Xenopus tropicalis: one gene and its partners. The protein of the gene in region 2 interacts with the protein of the main gene of each other region in a biochemical or structural test. Links are inferred from orthologs where the notes say so. Each region holds a gene or a part of one and is shown on either strand. Other genes may lie near its edges. The genes, in order: htr2c, apba1 and cntnap4.

Evidence for each region.
Region 1: the proteins of apba1 (region 2) and htr2c form a complex in vitro, tested with the Homo sapiens proteins (2 studies listed by BioGRID and IntAct, with this or other methods). The link is inferred for Xenopus tropicalis from reciprocal best matches to the Homo sapiens genes APBA1 and HTR2C.
Region 3: the proteins of apba1 (region 2) and cntnap4 form a complex in vitro, tested with the Homo sapiens proteins (2 studies listed by BioGRID and IntAct, with this or other methods). The link is inferred for Xenopus tropicalis from reciprocal best matches to the Homo sapiens genes APBA1 and CNTNAP4.

The regions. Positions count from the first base shown.
Region 1 is NC_030684.2:66,126,060-66,136,727, reverse strand, and holds the start of htr2c (5-hydroxytryptamine receptor 2A), read right to left. Parts: upstream 6,708-10,668; 5' UTR 6,531-6,707; intron 1-6,530. UniProt on the Homo sapiens protein: G-protein coupled receptor for 5-hydroxytryptamine (serotonin).
Region 2 is NC_030677.2:129,548,835-129,558,845, forward strand, and holds part of apba1 (amyloid-beta A4 precursor protein-binding family A member 1), read right to left. Parts: intron 7,522-10,011; coding exon 6,315-7,521; intron 1-6,314. UniProt on the Homo sapiens protein: Putative function in synaptic vesicle exocytosis by binding to Munc18-1, an essential component of the synaptic vesicle exocytotic machinery. May modulate processing of the amyloid-beta precursor protein (APP) and hence formation of APP-beta.
Region 3 is NC_030677.2:137,065,461-137,075,471, forward strand, and holds part of cntnap4 (contactin-associated protein-like 4), read right to left. Parts: intron 7,793-10,011; coding exon 7,553-7,792; intron 6,270-7,552; coding exon 6,048-6,269; intron 4,951-6,047; coding exon 4,817-4,950; intron 3,357-4,816; coding exon 3,269-3,356; intron 1,492-3,268; coding exon 1,270-1,491; intron 616-1,269; coding exon 544-615; intron 1-543. UniProt on the Homo sapiens protein: Presynaptic protein involved in both dopaminergic synaptic transmission and GABAergic system, thereby participating in the structural maturation of inhibitory interneuron synapses.

The DNA of each region.
Region 1 (10,668 bases), on a different chromosome or scaffold from region 2:
CACTTGATTAAATCAGCAGTTATTGTCCAATGCTAGTTGGAGGAATATTTATCTAGGGGAGAACTCCCAAATAAGCTTTAACGTTAACATTTAGCAAAATTCTCCTAATTTTCTGTTAGCAATTAGTTATGAGCAAATTTTTCGTCTGGCACAAATTTGCAGCAAATTTCCGCATTTTGCCATTGGCGAATTGTTTCACGAAACTTCAGTGAAAATTAGCTGTGAAAAAAAATTCTTAACATCAAAAAAAGTCATGGTCACATTAAAATAGGCGCAGTCATGTCAGTGGGTGGATGAAAATAGGCACGGCCATGTCAAAATGGGTGCAGGCCCTTCAAAAAAAAGTCAACAAACGCGTTTTGCAAATTTTTAGGCAAAACAAAATGGAACAGATTCACTCATCACTATTAGTAATAAACAAATTTCCCATTTTGTCCCAGGGGAAATGCATAAAATGAAAAAAAAAAATGAATGAAATTCCTGTATTTATAAAAGAGTGAATAAAAAAGTAGGTTCACTGGCCTTGATTTATCACAAGTTTGCAAATACAATTTGTCTTAATTGATAAGTTTGCATGTTGCAGATAATTTTTTACTTGCCCCAGCATTTAGAATGTGAAAATATGTTTGAGAACTCTACTTTAAGAATGGAGACATTTTTGATGCAAGCATAGTCATGTGTACATACAGTATGCTGTTACTATAAAAAGCAAATACAGCTCGATGAATCTAAAAATGTTCAAGTATAGTATCCATGATTTTGTGTTTTCCTAAAACTGAAGGCTAATATTAATTAGAATGATAGAATACCATGGTAAATTATGGTTCATGTATCAGCTGTCTACTCAGAAAAATGTGATTTCTTTTTAATTATGGCTATTGACAAAATATGAGGGCAGTTTATAGTTTTGGGCATAGGATGCACAAAATGATCAATATTTATTGATTGTAAGGTTAGAAAAAACAATATAAATGTAATTAAAAATAAAAGTTTCCAAAGAGTTTATAAGTAAGAAATGACATGTCAGATAGTAGCATTAAGCTTTAGGATTTTTTTAAATCAATTCATAATGATCTCATTTATTTTAATATATAATTAATGAATTAATCAAAAAAACATGTTCTAGTTTCAATTACATATAAAATGCTTTGTCAGAAAGAAAACACTTTCTTATAAAGATTTCATGAAACCTGGTTTATATGAGGTTTATTACTACTATTAAAAAGAACCCTTAAAAAAAAGTAAACATGATTATGTTCTTACACTCATATAGAATCATCTGGCTTGCTTAATGCCAAGGTCCAGGGTTCAGTTCAGACTAAGACTTTTGTACATTTGAATGTAATTTATATTGATAGATACAGTTTGAGTTGTATGTACTTTAATTTGGGAGATTAGATTAAGGTCAAAATTTGTTTTAATTTGTGGCATTATCTTAAGGTCCAGACCAGATCACCAGCCTATATCCTATAATTACTAGCTCTGCTTCCACTAGTATCTTGCTTTTTAATTTCTTATAACGGTATAGATATATACAGGTATATATATAATATAATATAATGCTGTTCCTATAGTATCCTTGCTTCTGTCCTTTTTTGATTGCAGAGCAGTGTGCAGTGAAGCAAGCATGACACAGAATGTTTCAAGCTTCATCTTTAGAGCTGTATAATTTATGGAACTTTAGTGGCATATTAGTGGCATGCAAAGTATTATATGACATTGAAGGAATTTGTTGCTTTAGCCGTGTTTTCTGGCGTTTTGTTTGAAAATGTCCTTTAAGGGTCATCACTGTTTGTTTCAAGAACAGTTTCCTGTTTGCTCAGTGGCCTATGTAAGAAGCTATCATGCTAGCACCAATATAGTCTTAATACGATGTAGTAGGTACCTCAAAAGAATGCATATTTGTTTATTGTTATAGCTAATAAAATAGCTATTAGTTCTGTATTGTTTAGGTTTCTCTTCACTTGAATGTTTGTAGTAATCATTTTGTGATTTTTAAAGATCACAAACCATAATTCTACGATAGTATTTGTGACATGAAATACCCACATGCAGCACACATTGGTTTGATTAATCAGGGTCCTTCCTCTGCTCTGATTTGGTACCATCCATGACTAGCTGATTTCTGAAACTGAGCGCAGCTATATTACAACTATATTCCTCTGTCTTTATCCCTTAATGACTTAACCCGAGTTGTTTAGTTGCTACAGTAGCGCAGAACTACACTAATCTTCAGAAACAGTGAGATACTAAGTGCCAGAAATATACCAGGCCCTAATCAAACTGCAAAGGTACACATTTTAATTCATTCATACAACATTAGCCCTGTGTATGATATCAGAAAAGGGGTATGCATAGGAAACAATTATATTATCAAAATTAGTACAGTTTTACCCCATATTTATACTTGCTAATTCAAATATCAGGCTACAGAAGGCAAATAGCACTGTTTAGAGAAGGAATTCTCCAGGTTAAACTAGAACAAAGTGCTTTTATAGAGCAGAATCACTTTATCCTCCAGGATTTATATTCTGCACATACAAATATAACACCTGGGTGCAAGGGATCTAAGCATGTCAGAACCCATTAACAGGTTAAATAACCCACAAGCCACAGCTACCTTTCTGAGTATGAAATGGCCAAGATTCAGAACTCTACTTTAAAAATGGTGACATTTGTATTTCAGGTATAGTTATGTGTATTTATAATATTTCCATTACTATAAAAAGAAAATACAACTTGGTGAGTCTAAAAATGTTTAAGTACAGTACCTATTATTTTGTTTTTTTCCTAAAACTGATGGCTAAAATTAATTAGAATGATAAAATACAATGTTAAATAATGGATCACGGTATCAGCTGTCTACTGAGAAAAATGTGATTTCTTTTTAATTATGACAAAATATGAGGGAAAATGTGAGTAATGCAGAGGCTAGTTTGTAGTTTTGGGCATAGGATGCAACTATATCTATTGATTGTAAAGTTAAAACAATTTAAATGTAATTACAAAAGTTTCCAAAGAGTTGATAAGGAAGAAAGAAATTGCATATCTGATAGTAGCATCATGCTTCAGGGGTATTCATTTTTCAAATTAATTCATAATGATCTCATTCATTCTAATATATAATTCATACATTAATCAAATCATTTTATAGTTTCAATTACATATAAAATGCTTTCTCTGAAAGAACATTCAGCAATCCATTATTTTTTATCAATATCACATGAAACCTGGTTTATACTAGCAAATGTGACCTGTTAATCTTATGTTCACAAGGTACAACTCAAGTGTGAATTGCTGTTCTTCTTCCTTTGCCTGATATACAGTAGCTCTGTGGTGGGAGTATTTTAATTGTAATAATAATTTTTATCTTTCTTCCCCTAGTTCTTTCACCTTTTCTTGCCCCCTCTGATGCTGTTTTGTTGTATTACAATGTCTACAATTGAGTAATATTTAAGTCTTGTATAACACAAATTTGCCAAGGAATAAATTTGATTTACAAAACTAAACAACATTTTGTCTTGTACCCTTCACACTGCAATGTATATAATTTTGCATAGCTTGGTTAAAAAACAATTAAGTACAATAACTGCATAAACTGATGTGAAAATAATCCCAGAGGAATAAGTAGCCAATTGAAAAATAAACAAGTTGCTAAAATATAAGTCATTCAGTACACGCTCTCTACACTAAACCCATTTTTCATACTCATTCGTAGCAGCTCGCATTTCTGGTTTTAGGCTAATTTTGTTCTATAAAACTGCTGTGTGTTGTGTGGGAGTTAAGTACATTCTTACAAGTTTGTTTTTTGCTAAAGTACTTTTTTTCCTTAATGCTTCTGGGTAACCACAGATTGTCTCACTTTTATATGGTATTTGTTAAAGGGTGCTGACTTGCTTTCGCAGTGATTATTTAGCGCTTTAACAATATTAATGCGTAACAAATATGTTTATATATTATATGATCCATGCCAGGTAACTGGCTAAATAGAATCATTGTAGCAAAATAAGATCTATTTCATTTCCCCTAGTTACACTGAACACAATTGACCAGGTATCCAGGCTGTGAGGCAACCAGAACCAAAAAGATGGGACAATACTGAAGCTGGTACTAAGGAACAGACAAAGCCAGATCCCAATGGTGTGGCAGAATCATAATGTAAAGCTGGAGCACAGGCCAGGAGAGACAGCAGTCAGGATAGTGAGTAACAGGCTAGAGGTCGATAACTAGAATCACAGATGGGAAAAGAGGTACTGGCACCTGGCAAGTATCTTTTGACCCTGACTGCTGACTCCCATACCACCCATTACAACAGTTTCCCTCTTTACTTGCTTATCCAGTGACTCCACATCCACTCCCTCACTCACCTGCTGGCAGTAGGAGTTAAAGGTACCAGTCAAATTTTTTTTCAAATTACGTCCCCCCTTAGTATTTCCCTACTCTGTGGGGCACATTTACTAATCCTCGAATCCGAATCCCGAATGAGAAAAAATCGGATTGGAAACAAAAATTTTGTGATTTTTTCGTCGCCGTTGCGATTGTTTCGTATTTTGCGTGACTTTTTTGTCGCCGTCGCGACTTTATCGTATTTCGCGCGACTTTTTCGTCGCCGCCACAATTTTTTCATATTTCACTATAGTAAATGGCGGAAAAACCAATCCGAATTTTTCACGACGGCGACGAAAAGGTCGCAGAAAATATACAATAAAGTCGTAACGGGGATGAAAAAGTCGCGCAAAATACAAAAACATTGCTACGGCGACGAAAAAAAATTGCAAAAATACAGATCATCATGAAAAAAACGCATTTGGAAGCTTTCGGACGTCCGTGGATTAGTAAATGTGCCCCTGTGTGTCTACCCTGCCTACCCTCATTTCCAGCCCTGCATAGAGTTCTCTATAAATATTATTTTTGCAGAATTATTAATTCATCAAAGCACAAATGTCACAAGGTTGTTCCTGCTTATTGACTGTGGTGCTTGTGCTCCCACTGTCACTTACTGTCACGTAAGTTGCAACAGTCATCATATCCCCTTACAATATTTACTTCAACATGGGAGAAGGGGGGCAGAACACATTTTGCAAGGCTTTTCAAAAAAAATCCTGGGAATTCTTGCACAAAGTGGGGAACATAAGGAGTTTTCTCTTTCAGTGGACAAGATACTGTAAGGAATCTATGGAGATTCTTTAAGCAAGAAACTTTCCATTATACATTTTCCATGATAACTGGCGGTGATTACACCAGGAATACTGGTTAGATATTACAGGCTTGACAAGGCATCCATGGAATTTTTTAACTTAGACTTCATCGCTATACGTCCGTTTATTCCATATACTTCAGCCTGCTCACTTTTGAATCATGTGATTAAACCTTTAAATATGCACCAGCCTGGTCTTTTCTTATAGCCTTATCTTGCTCCTAACCTTATTAATCCTACCACCCAAAACATTCTGACTGGTCTCGCTTCTCCTCTTCTTTATTTTCTTGTTTCAATTCAATTTAGTACTTTGTTTCTAGACAGAAAGCATCAACTGGGAGAGAGGTTTAGAGTTCTCTGCTGTGTACAAAAAATAAATAAGCAGCAAACAAAATACTACATAGGATTGGAGACACCGTGCAGAAAAGAAAGTAGAATATATACTATATTATGTGACATTAAACAACTACAGTGAATAAATAATAACATGACAATAATGACATGAAACAATGTATACTCCTGGCCAATCAACACTAAAATTAGAAATGACATTTTTAACATCTGAACATATTGAAATCTCAGTGAACTTGATCTTCTGCTATTTAAAACCTATCTCTGGGTATACTGCTAGTTATATTTTGAAGTTTATAGTGAGATATTTTGGCTGCTCTATTTTCCTGTGACATCAGAACATCATTAAAGAACATATGGCTGCATTACATATCACAGCAACACATTTAGATTGTAAGCCCTATGGGACAGGGACCTCTATCCTCTTGTATCTTTGATTCTTAACTTATTGCAACTGTACCTTGTATTTATTGTTATACTTTGTGCTAATCTATTCAACTGTACAGTGCTGTGTACATAAATAGCACTTTATAAATAAAGATATACATACATACATATATACAGTACAACACTAAAGTATCTGTTGTAGATAACAGACCAACCTGCATTCATAGATCCTGCATCAGCTAATATGTAGTTCATGGTTTACCTATTACAGATAGAAGCCAGCGGTCATACAGAATCACTTACTTCCTGGGTGCATATCCCACATCAGCTACCCAATGTAAAATGCCTTAGTATTGTCTTCTTACGTGGTTAAAAAGTCTTCACTTCCTTCATATTTTAGCATAATTGTCCGTGCTGCTAAAGGTTATACACTGTACACTGTTTCATTAAAGAAATTTGGTAGATTCTAATGCATAATTTAAACAAGCTTTCTAAAAGTAGGTAAAGGTAATTCAAATCTAAAATAGCAATTTTGCTTAGCAGTATGGTTAAACACAGATGACTAAACTTTTGATTTTCCTTCAAAAAGAAGTACCTTGCTGAATAACCACTGATGTTTTTGGGCAGTTGTCTCTTAGGGCCACCAGCATTGCATGCTTTCTGTATATTCCATTAAGGAACATGTTGATGAACAGCAATCCTTCTGACATCCTTTAAAACATGAATGTTCATGTTATTCCTCTATATGGATTTGGTTTGAATCTTGGATCCTAGATATTAAAACATGGAAAACAAAGAGTGAAAAATAAAGAAATAACATTTTTATAAAGAACTTATTGCTGCTAACACTGTGTTGAACTTGGGTGAAGGCTAACAAAAGACAAGGCTAGTGTTTAACGAAATACTCTTTTCAAAATGCATCAGTTAATAGAGTTTTTCCAGCAGAGCAAGCATCAGTTAAATACATGCATTTTCTATATAAATGGTTTGGGTTTTTTTTCTGTATAAAGCAGCAATCTACATGTACATATTGGTTGCTGCCACTTTGCATTGTAATTTGGCAAAATTGGAAAACTGGGCAGCAAAATGGAACATGAGGTTCAATGCTGAAAAGTGCAAAGTTATGTACTTTGGTTGAAATAATATAAATTGAGTCAAAAAGGGCATTGACTCAAGGGATGAAAACATAATTTTGCCTCTTTATAGGTCCCTGGTAAGGCCTCACCTTGAGTATGCAGTGCAGTTTTGGGCTCCAGTCCTTAAGAAGGATATTAATGAGCTGGAGAGAGTGCAGAGACGTGCAACTAAACTGGTTAAGGGGATGGAAGATTTAAACTATGAGGTTAGACTGTCACGGTTGGGGTTGTTTTCTCTGGATAAAAAGGCACTTGCGAGGGGACATGATTTACTCTGTACAAGTACAGGGATTATAGACAGTTAGGAAAAGTTTTTTTTTCCCATAAAAAGGATCATTGCAGCAGAGACCACTAGTGATGAGCGAAATAATTTGCCAGGCATGGATCTGTGGTGAATTTCCTTGTTTCGATTTTGGTGAATTATTTTGTGAAATGGGTGGCAAAAATGTTGCCCGTGTCAAAAAATTGTTGCCTGTGTCAAAAAATATAATTTTCCAGTGAAGCAAAACAGGACAGATTCGCTCATCACTAGAGGCCACCCCTTTAGATTAGAGGAATAGAACTTTCATTTGAAAGGTAACCACCACGGTGAGGTCAGTGAGGTTGTGGAATGCCCTTCCTAGTGATGTTGTGATGGCAGATTCTGTTAATGCCTTTTAGAGGGGCCTGGATGAGTTCTTAAACAAGCATAATATCCAAGGCTATTGTGATACTAATATCTACAGTTAGTATTAATGTTGGTATATATAGGTTATGCTTGTGAGTGTATAGATAGGTCAGAATGGGTCTATGTGTGTGTGCTGGGGTTCACTTGGAAGAAATCTTTTTCTGTAGATTCTGCATTTTAAGTGTAAAATTTGAATATATGCCTTTAAATTTTATTTATATAAAACAGAATCCCATGGACACTTTGTTGCAGGTAAAAACCACCAGTTCTATAAAGTAGAAAGTAATATGAAATATACAGTATGCATCAACAGCGTATCATTTTACTACTTCAATGCAAAGAAAAAATTGTTCACACAAAGAAATACAATTTAGCATTTTTAATATTTTGTCCATTAACAACTTTTATTACATTCCCCTGATATAGTGTCCAAATTTTAAGTCATTCTATTATTAGGCAAACGTGTTTACATACTAGTTAATATACATGCAAACTTGCTGGACAAATATGCCAATTAGTGCATTTGTAGCCCAGTGACTCAAGCTTTACTTACTGCACTGCCATACTATTATCTTAAAATTCTATGAAATGCCTGGTTGCTTGTGCCAACTGGGAGGGTCTTAGATTCTTATATGTAATTATTTTTCTGGGTTTCCCTAGGGTTCATATTTCAACCCTGGTATTTTTTCCCCATCTGTTCTGAGAGAAAAATATAACGCCGTGATATTTGAAGAGAAGGGAAAATGAGGGTTGCTTATTAATTTTGCATTGCTGAAAAAAACTATAAACTTCATAAACAAATACCTCAGCACTATAATATATTAATTAATTGAAAAATGGGCTCTATGGGAGATGGCCATACAATCACATGGAGCTTTCTGATAACGAGTTTCCAGATAAGGGATACCATACCTGTATTATAAACTGTCCTGTATGATCAGGTTACGCAATGTGAATAGTAGTATGTCCTAATTACATTGTAGAATTTATAGTATCCTTCACCACTGTATTTTGCACTTTTATTTAAAGGTTCGGATACTGTAAATGTCAAACTAAGTAAGTGAGGGCTAAATTCTTGGTTCTTGCGTTACTATAAAGGCTAAACTCCACAGGAGATGTTGTAGAATGGAACCAGATCAATAGAATGCATCCAACAAGTCAGATATAGTTCCATGTTACTATTACCATCCAACACAACATGCATAACAGAAGGAAACGCTGCTTGCTGCATCTTTATCTGACGATATAAAATCTCATGGTGTCTGACAGACTTTTTTTACTTATTGAAATGCATTGATTGTTGGATGTAGATGTAAAAACAAAAAATCCATCCAAATTTATCTGATCTTTTTTTTATGCTCCTGCATTTGGAAGGCAATGCAATGTGTATAGCAGGATATATGCTGTCTATTGTAAGAGGACATTTATTATAGTCTTCTATTAATTTCATCTGCAATAGTGACTTTTTTGCTTTGCCACAGATACCCTTGTTTTAGCAGACGATCCATGTTTTGTCATGGGAGATGTGTTTCTTTCAATGTAAGGCACTAATAAAAAAAAAACTCCTAATAAAAATTCAAGGTAGTGCAGAATTCCATGTATGACTATAGCAGCAGGAAGACACCACTGCAGGGAAAAGTATTGGGAGGGAGGACAGATAGAAGTTAATTCTCACTGATTTTTAACCATCATGTTGTCTTTTACCGAGGCTTAATGATGGATAATATATACATCACATAGCATGTGGTCTCAAGCTTTTAAATATTTACATAATAATATTCATATAAATATACAATTTGGGTACATTAACCCTATTATAAACAAAGTTGCTGTAATTACATTTGCATGCATTCATTTTCATGAAGCATAAAACAACACAAATTATGTCAATAATGTAATAAAATAAAAGTGGAAAACAGAAAATGTATGCTAAAGCAAACTGCTGACGTCTCCACTTGAATTCTAATATCATTCATTAGTTATTCTCATGTAAAGACTCAGTCCAGGACTTTAGCAACTCAGGTCACAGGTAAGCATTGGGTATGCTAAATTATGTTGCTGTTCAAAAGATATATTGCAAACAAAAAAAAAACAAAAAAAAATTATGTCGCCATAATTTTTAGAATTTGTTGCCACGTATTTGTAGGCATAATGGGGATTTCATTCACTGCTGAATATACTGAAATAAAAACAGAAGTATACTCAAACTTTTAGAAATACATGTTTCTCCTGGGGCCCATATCTCCATGGTTGGTCAAACAATCATCACACAATCATTTAAAACTAAGGTTTAATTTTTAACACTTTACTGTTCCCATTCCCAGTGTTCAGGTTCAGTGGGAAGTGTAGGGGAGGCTTATCACCTTTTGGCTCATCGTGGTACATGACAGTTGCACTTGTAGAGTTATTCACCCCAGGCAACCATTTATAAATATTAAGGCAAATATGGAATGGGATGGAATGGAAAGGATGAATAGTATTATTATAAATAACATTCAGTACTATTCAAACATTAAGTACTTTATGCCATGCTTTAATATTTATAGAAACGTATTGGCTTCATGCCCTACATACAGACATTTTCTTTGAAATAAATGTAAACTATTTCTCAAAGTTTTCAGAAAGAGTAACATTTAAATGAAGGATTACATATGTGTTTGAGCTGTGATTTGGGACTTAACCTTGTTAGTACTTGCAGATGAACTGCACCACTTTCTGTCAGAGAAATAATGCACTTAAGTTTGAATTCTATACTAAGCCTGTACTAAGCAGTTTTCTGCAATTATGCGTAGATTTATCTCATTCCCAAGGATGTCAAAAATTATAATTATAGCTCCCAATAAGATGCATATTGAGGCAACCATGAAAGCATTTAGAATTAGAAACTAGCGTCACTCATGAAATGAAATTCGTTCATTTCATGCACTTGG
Region 2 (10,011 bases):
GCAATTGACACATGTTCAGAAACATTTAAATAGAGAAATGAGCACTGAACTGACAAAAAAGCACTGCCATTTACGTAGTAATGCAATGAGGACATTATGTCATGTTGCGAGCCACATCAATTCACAGATGATGTTTTTATTGTTACTACACCTGTACACTCAAACAAATGGAAAGGACAGAAGAGGTGGTGAATAAAAGAAGATTACACAAAAAGTCTATGCAACAATGAGTTCCCTGGATTTAATTAGGAGGATTTAGCAGTTTTACACCAGCAGCAGCCATGTTTTAGGTCCTGCTAAGTCTATTAGCTGTATATAGTCTCAGTGTCATCAAACCTAATCCACAATGGCATTTGACCACACGCTTAATAGTCTTGGCTCTGATCCAGTTCCCAGGGAAAACGGAGAAGACCTATCCCCTGGAAATATTTTTGTAGGGAATATTTCAAAATAAAAAAAAGCATGATGAGTACATGTAAGGGACCTGTTAGGCAGAATGCTCAGTACCTGGGGTTTTCAAAACAAGGCATCTTTCCATAATTTGGATCATTATACTTTGTTTACTAAAAATCATTTAAACATTAAATAAGCCCAATAGGGTTGTTTTGCCTCCAAAAGTATTAATTATATTAATTATAAATATTTTAGTTGGGATTAAGTACAAAATACCGTTTTATTATTATAAAGAAAAAGGAACAATATGATTTATCTGATTAAAATGGAGTCTGTGGGAGACTGCTTTCCTGTAATTTTGAGTTTCCTGAATTAACACAGTCCTGAAGGGAAAATAAAATACAGTACCATAATGATACAGTAAGTTACTGTGATAGGACCAAAGTGCTCCTAGGTTTATAAATTTCCCTCTATGACTTATCACATAGTTTTTTAGAACTGGGCAGAAGGAACATAGCAGCAGCATGATAAGTGAGTGATTAACAATTTGCTTGGCTGTATACCACATACATGGTAAAATAGACAAATAGAAGGTACATCTATATTTAATATGTGTAAGTAATGACATAATAAAACTTGCCAGCTTTTTGGTTTGTGGTTGTGTTTCACTGACATACTCATGAGTGCATGATGAGACTTGTACAGTTCTTATCTACGGTTAAAAAACCAATGCTGAATGCACATATTTTTGTGACCTTTTTGTATTCTTTGTTCTTCTTCATCCAGATAATAAGCCCTGATAAATAACAAGTAGTAATAGTAATAACAATAAGGAATAGGTATGCACTGGGCTAATTACTACAAGTTATATGGTGGAATGTACAGTACACAAAGGACAGCACAAAACACTTATGAATATAATACCTGTGAGTAATATTACAGTATTTTATATCTAGCATTTAAGCATACTTTATTCTATTACAGGTATAGGACCCATTATCCAGAATGCTCGGGACCAAGGGTATTCCGGATAAGGGGTCTTTCCGTAATTTGGATCTCCATACCTTAAGTCTACTAAAAAATCAATAAAACATTAATTAAACCCAATAGGATTGTTTTGCATCCAATAAGGATTATATATATCTTAGTTGGGATCAGTTACAAGGTACTGTTTTATTTCCACATAGAAAAAGGAAATCAGTTTTAAAATTCTGAATTATTTGATTAAAATGGAGTCTATGGGAGACAGGCTTTCCGTAATTCGGAGCTTTCTGGATAACGGGTTTCCGGATAAGGGGTCCGATACCTGTACTAATAATTGGACACCCGACATACATTTTTACAACCCATCAAAAATGTAAGGGAACAAACAAGTTTGGACAAAAGAATGGAATAGAAAATATTTCTTTGCATAGTCACATGTACAGGATGATTTTGTATGAATTCAGACTGAGCAGATGCATAAAATTCAGGCACCAGCAACTCGTGGCACTGTCTTTATATGGCAGATCAGAAAATAAACAGAAATGTTTCACTGAATATCTGTCAATCCAGTGCCAGCCTTTAAGACAAATGAGCCTAACAGAAGCATGACTATTTCATTTAGATTCAACAGCTGATCCACTGGCCCTAAAGTGAGGATCAGACGGCTGATTTATGCTGTATCTGATGAATTTGTAAGTATAATGCGAAGAGAAAAACTGAATACATTACATGCTTACAGTTAAAGGGTAAAACTACTCATTCACAATTGCAGTTTATTTAGCAACTCTTTCAGTGGGACAATCGTAGGGAAAAAAAAATATATAAGAATTGGTGTAAGCCTGTGATTTTAGTTAGCAACAAAAAACTTCATATTTTTATTTATTTCATAATATGCCACATGTTAATGTAATGGCCCTGTAAAGATTTACTATTAATGGCAAAAAATAAAGAGCAGTTAACGACAACACCACCCCAATCCACTTGTGCAGGTAGCCACTGACTTAAAAAGCCACAAAAATGCAGATATGAACACTTTCTGGCTAAAATCTAACCCTTTGCACAGTTTAACATACATTTATGGTCTGTTACCTTTCTTGTGGTTCACTTTTAATTTAACTTTTAGAATGTTATAGAATGATCAATTTGAAGTAACTTTTCAAATAGCTTCCATTATTTATTTGTTATAGTTTTTGAATTATTTGCCTTCTTTTTCCAACTCTTTGCAGTTTCTAAATGGGGGTCAAAAAACTAGCCAAAAAACTATTGCTCTGTGAGGCTCCAGTTTTATTATTATTATTACTTTTTTTTAAACTTTTTTCAATTCGGGCCCTCATTCATATACTAGTCTCTCATTCAAACCACTCCCTGGTTGCTAAGGTTACTTGGACCCTAAGCAACCAAATTACTGCTGAAAATCCAAAGTGGAGAGCTTCTGAACTGAAAATGAAGTAACTAAAAAAAACTATAAATAATAAAAAAATGTAGACCAACTGCAAATTGAATATTACTCTTTACATCATACTAAAAGTTAACTCAAAAGGCGAACAACCCCTTTAAGCGTTCCAGCTAAAGACCACAATGCTGCTATTTACCAGTTCTGTTTTTCTACTTTATTACTTATAAGCAGACCTTCATCCAATGAAGCAACTGTAACACAGAGGCCAATATCCCACCCCCTTGTAAGGATGTTAAAACTCTGTTTTCCACTACAAAGCAGACACCATTGTATTCAGAATAATATAATAAAATAGGATAAAAATAGCCATTGATCTGCTTTGGATGTCTGTGGACCTGTCTACCCTTTATGGAAGCAGTGAACATTACCCTTTCCAGATGTAAGCTAAAAAAAATTGCCCTTTTACATCCTTTCCCTTGAGCCACCATTTAGTGATTGGCTGTGCACTCCCTCAGAGATCACATGACCAGAAATAATGCAGCTCTAACTGTAACAGGAAGAAGTGTGTAAGCAAAAGACAGATCTCTGTCCACTGATTGGCTGATGTGGCCTAGCATGTATGTGTGCCTTGGCTTGTTTGTGTGCACTGTGAATCCTATGATCCCAGAAGGCGGCCCATAATTCTTAAAATGGCAATTTTCTATTTAGGATTACTCAATGGCAAATACTACTAAAAAAGTATATTTTTATCAAAATGGTTCATTTAGATGAAGCGGGGCTTTACATATGAGCTTGTTTACGCAATATATGTTTATGGAGACCTACATTGATTGGGGTTATAGTTTTCCTTCAATGTTTCTTTGATACTTTCTCTAGTCTCCATTTTTCAGTTCTTTTTTCTATATTCCGTGGGATTCTGTTGTATGTGTTATGCTTACTATACTTAAAATATATATATATATAAAAATAAATATATGATTAATTTCTTAGGGGGGGGGTTTAGGAGTCAGTATTGCCTTTGTCCTTGGTGCACATTGGCACAACAGGAGGATTTTGTTATGTAAGACTGTGTAAATCAAGGCTCACCAGGATCTGTTTAAAAAACACAAAATGAGGTTGTTTATCTTGTAAGATTTCTACAAAAAGCATTGTTGCTGGCCTGCATACATTAGACTTTTTTTCTCTGTAAATCACGTTTTTGGTACTGTGAAACCCAAAATACATTAGATTTATATAATCCAGAGACACATTTTTGATTTTTAGTATGCTCTCACAGAGAGATTTAATAACATCTTCAAAAATGACATGTGCTCCTCTTTATAGACAGGCACATGCAACAAAACTGGATCTTCTTTAAACAAAAATATTTACCGTTGTCTGAATCTTTACAGTCATTTGTCATTATGGGTTCAGATTCTGTAAAATGAAAATTTAGGGTTTGGCTGAATCTGAATTTTGCTGGGAATCAATTGAATCTGAAAATTGTTAGCATTTATCTAAATCCAAAACTGAATCTTGGATGTGGTAAATCCATTTTTATATAAATATATTTTCAGGTGTCACGTAAAATTGATGGAAACAGTTGTGACCTTTTACAAATGACCAATGATAGGACTGGTATCCATATAGTATAGGGTTACCGCCTGGGCAATATTATGACCAGCCCAGCCGGTAAATCCCCAGCTAGGGTTGGGGCCATAATTTCAAATTTACTGGCAATGTAATTGACAGTAAATTTGAAATACCCTACAAATCACTCCGTTTCTTGACCCTCACCTCTGACAAATGACCTTTTATGAGGCCAGACCTGCCTATACTCTGCCCAATCCACCCATTTCCCCGCCCCACGTGTTGCCCCTGCCCATTCCTAGTGATCCAAAGGTCGGTGCAATAGTAAAAAAAAAAAAAAAAAGAAGAAAAGATGGCAACCCTAGACCAGTACCAGTGATCCGCTCTGAAAGTCGCCTGGCTTGCAGGTTTCAGGAAATCCTCACATAAGAAAAGTACCATTTAGTACATGTAGATGAGTCATATTGACTCAAGACTCCTATCCCGATGTGAAGCTACCCCAAGCAACTACTACTTAGGAATTGCAGACACACACCTAGGGGCACATTTACTAACCCACGAATCCGAATTGGAAAAATTCCGAAAACGAACATTTTGCGACTTTTTCGTATTTTTTGTGATTTTTTTCGCCGCCTTTACGGAAATTGTCGCAACTTTTTCATTACCAATATGATTTGCGAGAAAAAACGCAAGTTTTTCGTAGCCATTACGATGCGCTCGTATCTTGCCGCGACTTTTTCGTATTGAGCGCTCGTAAGCGGCGGGTGAAACTTTCAGACTTAGCATGATTTTGGAAGCCTTTGGAAGGACTCAATGGCACCCTGCAGCTCCAACCTGGCCCAAGAAAAGTCACCATACTGAAGCTTGAATGAATCCGAATCTTTCGTACTCGGCACGAAAGCTGCAAAAAAGTCGCGACTTTTTGCGCAAGTAGTAACGCTACGAAAAAATCGCCAGATTTTGCGCAACATTCGGAATGGCTACGAAAAAGTTGCGACAATTTTCCGAAAAATCGCCAAATACCGATCATTATGAAAAAAAACGCAATCGGACGCATTCAGCCCGTTCGTGAGTAAGTAAATGTGCCCCATAGGGTGTTTAAAATTTAAAAAATTAAAAGATGGGTTCCAAAATGAATAGGAATAGGTTGTTAAATGACTTACTACTCTTTGTACAGAAGAGAAGAAAAGCCATTATGAAAACAGCCATTTCTTATTGTCTACAAATATTCAAAATATAAACAAACTGAGATGGGCAGATCTCAACACAAAATATTCTCTCCTCTGCAAAGACTGTTTAGCTTGAAACCACTGAAGGTAATATTGACGGTAACTGCAAACTAGTGTCACACACTTTTTCTTATTCCTTAAATACATTCCAAACGGAAAAAGTACATGTGCTTATTTGTTTGTGGATAAGTCTAATAATGTGTTGATATCCTTTAAGCCCACAAAAGAAGGGGCGAAGGCACAGAGAATGCTGTAACTTTTGTAATTTAAATTTCTGTATCACAATAAATGATGTAGGGTGATAACCCACAGTAAATTCCCCTTCTGCCTTTCTCTTCTTCTTTTGAGCACTATATTGAAAACTTGAAACAGCCAGGGACTGGGGAGCACAGTATCTACAAGTAAAAGGTGTGCAGAAGTTTTACTGTGTTCAACTATCAATTAAGCAAGAATTTTTTCATGTGGAGTGTTTAAGAAATAGAGTTTCCAGTTACATTAGGATTCATATTTTTATATTCTGTCATAAAAAAACTGAATTGTAAAAACCATGGAAAAGTTCCTTATTTTCTATAGACATATATTATATATGTATGATGTTAAATATAAAAAATAAACAAAACTTTTTTTTGCCTTTGAAAATTTGCATACTAATTAGATAAATGCATTGACATTGAATGCCACGTGCCACATTATATAAGCAGAAAGCAGGTGGTTATAAAACTGTGCATACTACATATACTTACATCTCCACCTAGTGGCCTTTGGTCATCACAGTCCTTTGTTGGACTAATGTCTTGCCTCATCACCCAGATAGGTTCCTTTGGCTCATCAGGAGTATATGGGGAACGGACTGTCCTTGTCTTTACTTCTTCAATTGCCTCCTTAATGTCCTTAATGGCTAGTGAGATGGCATCCCTCTTTTCCTTGCTATACCTCTGTACCTCTCCTGTACTTGTAGATGTTTTGGAACAAGATGACAGATTTCCATTAGTCACATGGCTTCCACCTCCCAATTTGGAAGGTTCTACTATGTCCAGATTTTGTTCTGCTTCTGGCATGTCCTCTGCCACTTTGTCCAGACTTTGAGAACTCATGCTTTGTTTGACCTCTGCCACAATCTGATCAATATCTTCCTCTTGCTCATAACTGTCCATTCTTGGGTACGGTGCGAATTCTGCTTCTTTCTCAGGGCTGTCAGACTCCCCATCAGAACGTTCATCATAATGGTGAAGGCGTGCACCAAGTGCTTCCTTCCGATAGTTGTCAGCTTCCTCTCTTTCCTGCTCATAAAGTCTGAGGCCCTCCCTAATATCTAGTTCAGGAGTGTCGCCTATTTCCTCATACACATGCTCTTGCAGTCCATAATCTGCATAAGGTTCCGCATATTGCTCATCCTCTCCCCTATGAAATAGCCTATGGGTGTAGACATATCCAGAGTAGGCCGCATTTAGAGCTTCCTCCTGATCTAGACCATGGAAGTGTAAGTGATTAGGAAGAGTTCGGTTGTGCAGAGCTTCCCCATGTTCTGCCTCTGCATTCTCAGTGTACTCTTCAGACTCTGGCCTGTACTGAATAGCATAGGCACTCTCATCATCATTCTCCTGGATTCGGTCCACATCATATCCATCTGCCTGTACTGCAATCACATCCCCCTCAGCTGTATCTGTGTGGTTGTGAAAACCACTCTCTGTGCTTGCAGATCGGGCAAGAGTGCCATCTTCCTCTTGTCCAGATTGTCCCTCCTGCTCTTCAGATACCTGCCGCAAGTTAGGGGGAACAAACTGGTGTTGTTCTTCTTCGACTTCTGGGTGCTCAAGGTCAGCTTCCACAGACTCATTAATGTCTGCACTTCCAGGCTCATCACTCACCTCTACCTCTTGCGATCCCTCTAAATGGTTCATGGCTGGTTCACAGCAGTAAGTCTTATAGTATAAACATCTTTGTTCTGCACTAAAAAAGAAAAATTGAAATCTGGTTTTAGCAGCAAGCAACCATGGTGCTCATTAGCATTAAAATCTAAGAATTCAGAATCTAAGTGTTTTATAAACATCTTGTTATCTTCTCTCACTGGTCATGAATCCCTGCCAACAAAAACCTGCTTGGACTTCTCAGTCTGTCTGCATTTTCTGTTTAATACCCTAAAGCAAAACAAACCCATTAAAAAGCAGCATTTGCAGAAATCCTCCCAGCATCCTCACTTTTTACCATCTATTTACTCACAATACAATACCATCACGCAGTTCTCTGGACACTGCAGGAAACCAATGTAGATGTATGAACAGTTATAGACTGCAGAACAGAATAACAGCAGCAAATACATTATTATTCTAAATCAAAATCTGGCAGAGCTGGTATAGCTTGAAGACATAAAATAAAGAAAACAGGTTACAGCATTATATTGCTTTAACTTTGTTTTAAAGGTTACACTATAAACAAAGCAATAAAGCGTATTAATTGTGACTTTAAAATTTCACAGCTTGCACAACTTCGGCAATGTATTAGATTTAATGGTAAGAATAACAATCAACCCAAAGTAATCAAGTTTAAATAATGCTGTTTATTTAGCATGCACTCTATACAGTTTTATTGGATTTGCTGCATTTTTATTTGCTTGTTTTCTGTATCTGTCTCCATTTCTTTGGGTACGAGCCAACTAGGAAACATGAGATCAGTTTACCCATGCAATGCACAGAATAGCGATGGCACAGCAAATGTATATTGAACACTGCATATCATATAAGTACCTTTACATTGGTTCCCAAACTATGAGGCTAACCCCTCAAAACAAAGGATGGTGGGGGAGCAAACAAAGTCAGAGAGGTAGACACTGAAATCAATGCTTATTTGCCGTGCTGGGAATACTTGTAACTCTAGCAGGTCAAATACATCAACTGCCATTTATATATCTCTATATGTTATAAGCTATGAACAAATGATGAGAAGAAAAGTATGCTTGTTCCCTACTCATAAAAAAGGGGGCACAGCCAATCAATCAGAGTTGAGTATAGGTAAATGCGGCTGGGGGCAGAAATGATCAAACAAAGCAGCTACATGAACAACTCCCTACATTTCTTTATAGCCCAAACAAAGACAAACCATATATCTATGTCAGCATTTCAGAAAGAACATTTTATTGCTTAATATCTCTTTACAATAGAACATACATTTCTTAAAGGAGAAGGAAAGGTAAAAAGAAAGTAATGCTACACTGAGTCCTCTATCAAAATGAACACAGGATTTCTTGTTTCTTTTTTTTTGTAAACATGATGTTTCCTCTCTCAGGAACAACCTTAATTCCAGGGGCCAGAGTCTGCTCAGTTCTCTCTTTTCTCCCCTCTCCTGCTCCACCCTCCCACCAGAATGCTTAGAACTCCCTTCCCTCTCCATTAGGAATGTGTGATTTCAGCTATAAGGGCTGGAGCAGGAAGGAAGCTAATTAAAATGGCAGCTGCTATCTCAAGCAAACCGAGAAAGCTTCTAAAACTGTTTACTCAGGTATGGTAATGGTTTCTGCAGAATATTTATTCTAGGTGGCACTAATGTGGCAAATTCATCGTCAGCAAAATTACTTTTCTTCTCCTTTAAAGGGTCACTATGTATGTAAATTTTCTGCAGAACTACCCTGTGGTTTTTGCAGAACAGGTTATTACAAAACTTAGAAAGGCATGTCTGCTATGGAGTTTTCCATTTACAGAAACTGGTTATTTAAAGGAGAAGGAAAGGTAAAAATCAATGAGGGGGGTGTAAAATGCCCAACATTTGATTGTAACTTTCCTTCCCCTTTAAAAGCATTAAAACACAAATATAAAGAGTTAAATACATGATGAAGAAGGTTGTTTGAACACGGTCTGCATCAATAACAAAAGCCTGGTCATTAATACAGAAAAGGAAAAAAAATTACAAAGACACATGGAGCTGCACTTTACCCATGTATGGTACAACACCCAAAGTAAAAAAAAAAAAACTTTCATTAACTTAAAGGAACAGTAACACCAAAAAATGAAAGAGCTTTAAAGTAATAAAAATATAATGCACTGTTGCCCTGCACTGGTAAAACTGGTGTGTTTGCTACAGTAACACTACTATAATTTATATAATAAGCTGCTGTGTAGCCACGGGGGCAGCCATTCAAGCTTGGAAAAAGGAGAAAAGGCACAGGTTGCATAGCAGGTAACAGATAAGTTCTGTAGAATACAATAGTGTTTTATCTGTTATCTGCTATGTGCCTGTGCCTTTTCTCCTTTGAATGGCTGCCTCCATGGCTACATAGCAGCTTATTTATATAAATTATAGTAGACTTTCTGAAGTAAACACACAACTTTTACCAGTGCAGAGCAGCTGCACATTTTATTTTAGTTACTTTTATACACTTTCATTTTTTGGTGTTACTGTTCCTTTAATATATAAATATATGTAAAAAAAAAAAAACTAAATTACAAA
Region 3 (10,011 bases), about 7.5 Mb from region 2:
ATTTGTGGCCATGACAGTCACTGCATGCCAACCCATTCCAACTTTCTTGAATTTTGATAATAACTGCTGTGCATATTTAAATATCACCATGCTCTTTACATTTTAGCAATACCTAGGGCATACATTATACTTGCATATATATAATTGCATATAGTGTATTCTATCCTCTTCATCTTCTAAAGAAATAAGTGAATGTTTGTTTCAACCCAAGCTCATTTCCTGCTTTTTGTAACTATGTTAAGTATGCATACAATCAGCTCCAATCTGAATGTCAGTTTTGCTAAAAATTGTTGTCATTTAATGCTAAATCTGCATTACATACATAAACATGCACACAGTTAAATGCACATGCCACACAAACACATTGAAAACATATAAGAAATGGCAAACCTTTCCAAAGAAATATAAGTGAACCATAATTCAAATACTTTTATAATAAAAATATTATGGATTTACAGAAATTGAAGGCATATTAAAAGCAGGTCTTCCCTTTTTAAGGAATGGTTTAATATTTAACTATTCAAACTTGTATTTTGATTTTACCCCCAATCACTGCAGAGTCACTTCTGATTGCATTAGCTATGGGTTCTCTTTCATCTTTTGGTCTTGAATGATCTGTAAAACATAAATATCTTCTTAAGAAATGTGGACTTTTATTAGTGGATAAATATTTACATAAATTTAGCAGTAGAGTCCATCAGTGCTTACATAGATAGTACTTTGTATATAACTTGCCAAGCTTTTGAAATATTATTGATCAATTTTCTATTTTTTAATTTTATGAAATAATAAAAACAAATGTGAAAAGTCTAGTAAAATAAAAAAAAAAAGAAATATAAAGATGCAGCTACAGACCTTTAAATGCACTCTTTCTGTCTTGGAAGCCCAAGAGTTGCAAGTCTATATTGATTTCTTTTTGTGCTGCTTCTGACTTTCATCTGTATATACTTAACCAAAATGCATTTGTCTCTCTTTTCCTGGTCATATATATTTATTCTGATTTAGCTGGTTCTCTGCCTAGCTTGCCTTTGACAGATTATACAAAATATCCTATTTTTTTCCACTGCCCAATACTTCCTGTCAACCCTATAGCTAATTTGGAAGAAAAGTGGAAGAAACAACTTTAGCGCATCACTTAGTTCCATCTAGGTATCTTGCTTTAGTCATTCCTACAATGTGATAAAAGGCAAATCAACTGATATGGATGGACATAATAAGAGTACAGTGTGAAAACAATACTGACATTATTCTAAAATTGCCTGGATTTACCTGCAAATGTATGAGTTGATTCACTTGATGCTGAATCTATACCATTTACAGAACCACAGCTGGATTCTGTAATGTGACCAGTTGTTATTACTTGTGGTGATTTCTCATGGTACAAAACAGTTTTCAAAGGAAAAATATGGTTAAAATGCATTGAAGATAGACATCCAATGAATCCATTAGCATTTGCTTTCATTGTCTCCAGATCAAGCTCATCATTTTCTGCTGTAAATTAAAATGTAGAATTTTATTTTTTAAATGAAACAATTGGCACTCTGTATATTACATTATGCATTAGATAATATCTAAAATATTACAAAGCAATTTGAGGTGGAAAAAATGCAGTAAAGTGATCACAAAAAAGACTAAAGATTATATATATATATTGCAATGAATCTTTCCATTACACCTTGTTTATCCAAGTAGACATTCATTAGCTAAATAGATAAAAGATACAAACTCACATGTTTTCTACTTAAAAGGATTCAACATATAATGGAAGAAGGGGGTGACTGATAATGTGATACAAGAAAAGGGAATCTGAAGGAGGCTAAGGGGCACATTTACTAAGATGCATTTTTTTTCTGGCCTTAAATTTTTATGCCGAAAAGTTCGTTAACACCACAAAAACCTTTCTGGCTTTGATGCCTTCCATGTCTGGCTTTGGAAGCCTTTCTTAGGACTCAACGGTACTCAACAGATCAAACCTGGTAAATAGATAGTCCCAATGAAAGTGTAACCAAAGCTTTCAGGAATTCCGAAATGTTCGTATTCTATGTGCAAAATACAATTTTTTGTGGAAATTTACTGAAAACCACAAATAACTTTTTGCGTGCATCCAAAATGTTCTATAATTTAGAAAAAATATGAATTTATCTCAAAATTGTTTAGTAAATGGGCCCCTAAGTCTTCATATAGAAGATAGAAACTTGCTGCTGGCATTGTAAAAAATAAAAAAGTCAGAAAAACAACCAATGTGAAGTTTTTACAGTGCCAAAGCTGGAGGCTGCAGTTGCAGGAATTCACTAAAAGTACACAAGATAACTGTTATTACATTAAACAGTGAAAAAAGTTTAACTTATTACATTCATTTCATTCAAAGAGACTATAAAATATTAAATTAAGTATATCGAATGTGAACAGCTGCTGCATGCTAAATATAATTTTCACTGGTTCATTTTTTACATATTTCCTTAAATTTGGCTTCTTGTTTTCAATTACATGCTCTACCAATCAAGTCTCACTTAAAGGCTCGTTCTCTCTATTTTAGTACCCTATACAGGTATTTGGTTTCTAGGGAAGATGAGAATTATTCAGCTATCTGCAGTAAGAAACCAAAGAATTCCAATCATATCACATAAATTAATAAAAGGATTTTAAAAAGATTGAATTTTACCAGGAGGTTACCTTTTAGCATTAAAGATATAAAGGCAGTACGATTAATTTGTGATGAGCAGATGTGCAAGTACTAGAAATCTAAGAAGAGCAAATGTGCACCCCTTAGAGACTATGCACTTACTCCTTGCACCCGTGCTCATGCTGCATGCTAGTTGTGCTCTGCGTCTTGCATGGATTCAAAATATAACCACAAGCAGAGCACATTTGTGTCAGAAGCAGGTTTAAATACAACACTCCCAAAGCCCTGCATCCCCCATGGTCCCTAGATTTCTAATTTTAAATGATGCATAAGCCAGGGGTAAGCCAGGGGTATGCAGAATTGTTGCTTTAATTAAGCATAAATGTACATTCAGTATTTTGTATAATTACTTTACAGTATTCAACAGATTTACTGCATCAGCACTGCACACAGTAAATATAATTTACAATAAGAGGTACTCATTGTGGTTACTGTTGGACTCATAATCCTGGTCATAATTGGACATAATCCTAATATTCTAGCAAAATACATTTCATCATGAATTACAGATATTTTATGAAAGTTGTAGCAAAAAAATAAATCGAAAGTGTTCTCTTTAAGAAAAAAGGAAAAAAAACTACTTACCTAATATTTTACCAAGGATAAGAAATTGAACTGCTTTGAATTCAGTAACTGATGTGAGACTAAATTTTACAGCTGTATACTGGTTAACCTGAAATTATATTTTAATATATTAATTAGACATGTAATAAAATATTTCTTGGTCAAATCCTTTTTTTTAAATAAAATCTATATATGAGGTTTCAGGAGATTAGGATTTAGACTTGACTGGTTTATTACAGGATACAGTAAATATTATCTCATGGCAAGTTCATTTCTTTCCCTCACTCATTATAAGCACCTTCAAATTTACATTCACAATTATAATAATACTTTGTTATTTACTCTTGACCTGTGATTAGATTGTACATACATTAATCCTCAGTGGTAAAAGTTCCCCACAGTAAAATTCCACCACTCTCTATTACATGGGATTTCTAGAGGTGTATCAATGGGTAAAAGTCAGAGTTTACCATTTGATAAATATGCCTCTAAAAATCCCATGGAAATGAATAGAGAGGGGTGGAATTTTTTCATCATTTTTATCATAATTTTTGGATGGGGTGGGCCTTTTATCACTATTAAGTTAACAGACACAGGTCTGTTAACTATGAATTCTGTCAAAATTTGACCATTACTGTGTAGATTGCTTTATCACATACTCCCCAACCCATTTATGCCATGTTCGATTATATGCTAAGAAATACAAAAAGGAAAAGGTTAAACATAAGGTTAAAATGACCAAGAGAAGAACAAAGGGGAAAGTATTGGAACTTTTTTTTGTATTAAAGACATAAGGAATTATTCATAACAATAGAGGTGCTTAATAAGTCCTTAATAAACTCGGCAAAATATTCTCTTTTTAGCAAAGGCATCATTAATACTAATAATTATAACTGTGGCTAAACATAGAATTGTTGGGGCTTTCCCACCAGTGAAAATGTTTTTGAATGATTAACTTGAGCAACTAAACTTAAGAAGAAACTTGGGAGAATCTAACTTGGAAAATAAAAAGAGTAATTTGAAGGTTCAGTTGTGAAAAAACTATTTTTCATATCCAAAACTGAATACTAAATACTTCTTGGTAAAACAAATTGCTTGCACTGTATATTCCTATTACTAACTACTTTGTACTCATCATCTGAGAGAGCAGGTACAGCTTTGGGAACTGCACCTTGTACAATTTTATTATTAAAATCCATCATTTTAAAACTGCCAATTAATCCTCATTGGAAGAAAAATAATGCTTCTGGGTAAAATTAATGTTTAAATGTTTTTTTAGATCCAGAATGAAGATCCAAATTACAGAAATACCAATTATCCAGAAACCCCCCCAAGCATTCTGGAGAACAGATACCTTATATGACTTTATATATATTACTATACTGACTATTAAAACATCTCATTAAAACAAACACTAGTGGTGTCTGATTATATAATTTTTTACATGTTGTTTTATGCTCGATGCAGATATGTCAAAGAATAATATAATATTTTAAACAGATTCCATATTCCTGTACTAAAGAGTGACTATTTAGTCTCTCAGTAACCTTCTCATATTAAGTCTCTTACCTCTATAAAGAGTGTCTCTCCTTTTCTTAAAATTCTCACTTTCTGGAGATGTCCATCAACTAAGTTCTTTGTATTGATATTAAATACATCAGGATCAAGATGATGTTCTAACTTGTATCTGATCTGCAAACTACCTGAAAGAATAACATTTGTATTCATCACTTACATTTTGAAGTATTAAACAAGACTATGCCCTGTATACATTCCTTTACAAATACTAAACAGAGTTAAAGGGGTTGTATACCCTCTCTTCAATATAACTGCAATGAGTAAGGCTTGTGCTGGATGTACTTTTTGCCTGCTGTATTAATAACAAAAAAATCTATGGTTTTGTTATTTCCTAAACTAAACAGGACAAACAGTAAAACTGAAGCCCCTTGATGTTTGGCCCTTGCGAGGTAGGTAATTAAATAATCTTTTTTGACCTAGTTATAAAAAGAACAAACTGCAATTTACTTTTTCAAGAGTGAACAGCGCAGCATGCAACGCTGTATGTGCACCATTTAGTACAGTTCTAAGCAGCCCCGAAGGCAAAATATTTATATTCTTGCACTGCAAATCCAGTCTGGGAAGCTTTGATAAACTTGATAACGAAATGAGCTTAAAACTATGTTGATGGGAAAACAATCCTATTTGTATGTTATTTAATGCTTTAAATTAGCTTGAAGACACCATTTCTTTGTTATGTAAAGATCCCTAGACCAGGTCCCAAGAATTGCATATAACAGTTCCCATACCCAAAATTGTTGTCTGTTCAATGTGTTGGAGAATATTGCAGTGTCTTTCATTCAATACCTAGAGTAAAGTATCAAACTATCTTAGGAATACTGTTTTTTTTACTACATAGTGACAGGTAAAGCACTTAGCAAAATTCCTACATTGTATGACCCTTGGAGGCATAGAGCTGAACCTGAACATGCTAACCTGAAGTTGTAAGAAGGATAAGGCAATTAAATTCTGCCCTGCCTTCTGTGTTTGAACAGTGTTTTCTAAAAACCACATTTCCCAACCACGTTACTAGCAATGAAGCACTTCTGAACTTTTATCACATGATATGAACAATGTAAACTGTTACTTAACAGATTATTAGAGCTGATAACAGCTAATTTTAATTATAATGTTTGCTATTGCATCTTGGTGATTTGCAGAGTTTAACTTCTGAAGTGAAAAAAACCTCATTAACCATAAAACATTATATAATAGCATTTATAAAATGAACAAGAGAACCTACCATTTTTTGCAATGATGATGGAAATATATTGCTTATTGAAAGAGCTCACAAAAAGTAATAAACTCGGTGACTGAGTAGTTCGAAAACTAAATGCAATGTTTTCTCTACTGTTTGTGTCTGGGTGTTGAGCAGAAGAGTACCAGCTGGCGTTTCTAGATATGGTGTAATTTTCAGGAAATGTTAATGTTGCTGAAGACCCACCACCAAAGTATGCTGAAATCTCTGGAAAAAAAAAGAAAACAAAGTGCACATTTCCTTTACAAATAGATCAAGAACCTATAAAGAAAAATCATTAAGTCTAAAATTATTTTCCACCTAATATTGATCTACTCAATATAAACATCAGTTTGTCCATGCTTTGCACTCTAATACATATATTTAACACCAACATCCTTCTCAAACAGACTAGAAATAGGTGTCTAAAATGTATTGTGACAAATCTAGTTGGCAACAGAAAATATTTGCAATGCAACAAATTATGCCTTTGCAAGCTCTGCAAGCTTAAAGCCACTATAGAGTATACACTAAAATATACCTAAAAGGTGGCATAGTGGTTTTCATGTCTACAGTATATACCTAATTGTATTGCGTTCCTCTATGTTAGGCTTAAATAGTAACTTCCTATTATGAAAGTTAGTGAGAGTTCAGCCCTTAGACATTTTCTTTTTTACTTTTAACCAAAAGTGTTTTGTTTACAGGTAACTTTCCTTTCTTTTTATCTTTATTTGTAGCTATTAAAAGGTAGATTTTAATTACACTCTGTTCACATACCATATGATCTGCAGGGGGGTTCTGACTTTCTGTTCTCCATTGCACCATTAATCACCCAAGGTAACAAAAAAGTTAATTAAGATCCTAAAGGTTATCAAAAATATTTTTTTAAGTTTGTCTTTTTAAGTTTAAAATGTATGTAACTATGTAACTATGTAAGTTGTAAACATTTAAAAATATATTATACATCTACACTTATGAACAATTCTATTAGTGTAAGACACAATCTCATTGGAAGTAATCAAAAACAGAGAGAGAGGAAATGATGTTAAAGACTGGTTTGATCAACGCCTGGGAATAATTAAACACGACTTACATAGAGTCCAAGATAGAGATGATGACATTTATGACTTTATTCAATTTAGTACCTGCTTGTAATGATAAACCTGGGGGTAGACTAAGCTACTTTATAACTTGAATAATATCTTAATACAGACAAATTATGGTGGAGCGCAAATGTACAAGATTTTTAAAATGAAACATTATAGAAGTTGCTTCATGTTATGCTATTGTCATTTTTATGTCACATAGATGGAAAAAAATGATATACAGTCTTGCCTAAGCTTGTGCTGCATTATGATTTAATCATCTTAAAAAAGGTCTGCATGTTTATTGCGCTTATCAAAGTATAGGCATGTAATACTAATATGTTATAATTGCATTTCTTTAGATTTTTTGATTTATAAAAAAAATGAGTTTAAAATGCAATTAGAGAAATGTAAGAGAGTTTGTACCTTTCTTGCAAAATGGTCCTCCGTAAGCAGAGGAATTACAATCACATAAAAATCCATTGTGCTTTTCTTCACATTTTCCTCCATTGTGACATAGGTTCCCATAGCTACTGCAGTGTCCAGGACATCCTGGTTTAATTCCTGGGGTCACTTTAGCCCTTTCTTCCAAGTCAAGGGCAATTCCATTTAATGTTAAATAACGTATGCATCCTAAAAATCCTTTCTGTCTTGATGCTGTTCCACCTGTATAAGATAAAAGAATTAAAGTATTAAGTTATAAAACCTACGTCTTCCATAATAAAGTGTGTCTTTTATGCACATGCAGAATTTTACATTTTTTTTTTTGTTTAGACAAACATTTGGTCCAATCTACTGTGGAGTTCGCACAGTAGTTACAGGTTAATGTGTTATACAACCTAGTGCAGCACCCATAGCATTCCTAAATCTACTAAGGGGAGTATGGATCATGTGAGAGTTAATAAATATATATATTATAATTACAAAACTATTATCATATAGACATTGTATTTTTCCCATATTTTCCCATTTTCCTTTATGCTAATTAAGGTGGCCATACACAGGCCGATTGTAGCTGCCGATAACGGTCCCTTGGACCGATTCGGCAGCTTATTGACCCGTGTAGGGGCAAGAACGAGGGGCATGCCCGACCGATATCTGGCCAGAAATTGGCCAAATATTGATTGGGCAGGTTAAAAGATTTAGTTGGATCGGGGAACGAATCAGCTCGTTGATGCGGTCCCTGAACCGACTGCCCCATTGCTGCCATTATAATTCGATTGTTTGGGGCCCAGGGCCTACTGTACATGTTCCCCGATATCACCCACCCATAGGTGGGGATATCGGGTGAAGATCCGCTCGCTTGGCAACCTCGCCAAGCGAGCGGATCTTCACGTGTATGGGCACCTTTAGGATAGTATGGTGATAGTATCTTCCTTCCTATAAAATGCATCAGTTATGAATTCAGAATATTCCATAATGATTGTCATAATACATTATACCTAATATTGCACCCGAACACGTTAGAATGAACTGTTCAGAACTGACTGAATTTGATAGATCACTTAATAAAACACTTCCAGGATAATGGATTCACTTAACATTGTACATAGACTTATATCTAATCCAGTAACTCTGGTGATTATTTTGGAAGGTCTGAGATAACCAAACCTGTTGAAATGACCTTTTGATTTGATCAAATCAATTTGCCAATCAGATCTATCTTATATAGTTCTAGGAAAGATTAAATGGTTAGAACTCCTCTAGGAAATGTGTAGGATTTCAGATTTAATCTTTGATAAACTAGCCCTGTGGTTAACTACTAGATCATTCTGAGTAGTGATGAGTGAATCTGTCTTATTTTGCAGGCTCCATCTGTCTGCCGTCTATCTGACATTTAATCATTATATAACATTCAACAATTTTGATAAATATCTCTCTTTCTTTTATTATTAAACCCAAAGTACCTTCCACAGGCATTGGGATTATGTAAAACAGTTGCTATTTAACAAAAAAAAAACCTTAATGTTCCTGCTGAATTTTGCTTGGTATGGAAGATTCCTACACATTTTCATGATATTAATCTGTCCAAGCTTTGGGCATTTCTAGTGGCTATGTTTATGCAGCTATATCTAGAGGCATGATTATGACTGGTTATGCTTCAAGCTATGTCACACAGTGCCTTCTTAGCAGTTTCAACTGGTTTCTCACCTCCCTCTAATGTTATAATCCTCATAGGTTTCTGTAAAGGGATTAAAACGTTAGAAGATAAGGCAGTTTGAACCATATAGTTTGTATATAGTCAAGCTGAAATTCCATTCAGTAACTCAAACATAAAATATGATTTAGAATTAGTGGCCTTTAAATTGGTCATACACTAGCTGACCTTCAATGTACCTAACTGATTGATTTGTAGGCTGGCCTGTTATTGGATAGGAACTTTGCAATTTGAAAAAATATGTGTCATTTAAAGCACTGAAACTATTAATAATACTTAGCTTTAGTGATGGGTGAAATGTTTCGCCAGGCATGGATTCGCGGCGAATTTCCGCGTTTTGCCATTGGCGGATTGTTTTGCAAAACGGCTGAAAAAACTTGCTGCGGAAAAATTTGCCGCACGTCCAAAAATTGTCGCCGGCGTCAAAAGAATAGCTGTGCAACTAAATAATAGCTGTGCGATGAAATAATAGCCGCAGGCGACAAAATAATAGCCGCGGGCGACGAAACAATAGCCGTGCGACAAAACAATAGCCGCGGGTGACGAAACAATAGTCGCTCGACAAAATAATGGCCGCGGGCGACAAAACAATAGCAGCGCGACAAAATAATAGCCGCGGGCGACGAAACAATAGCCGCAGGCGACGAAACAATAGCCGCGCGACAAAATAATAGCCGTGGGCGACAATTTTTTTGGTCGCACGACATTTTCGCTGTTTCGCGAATTT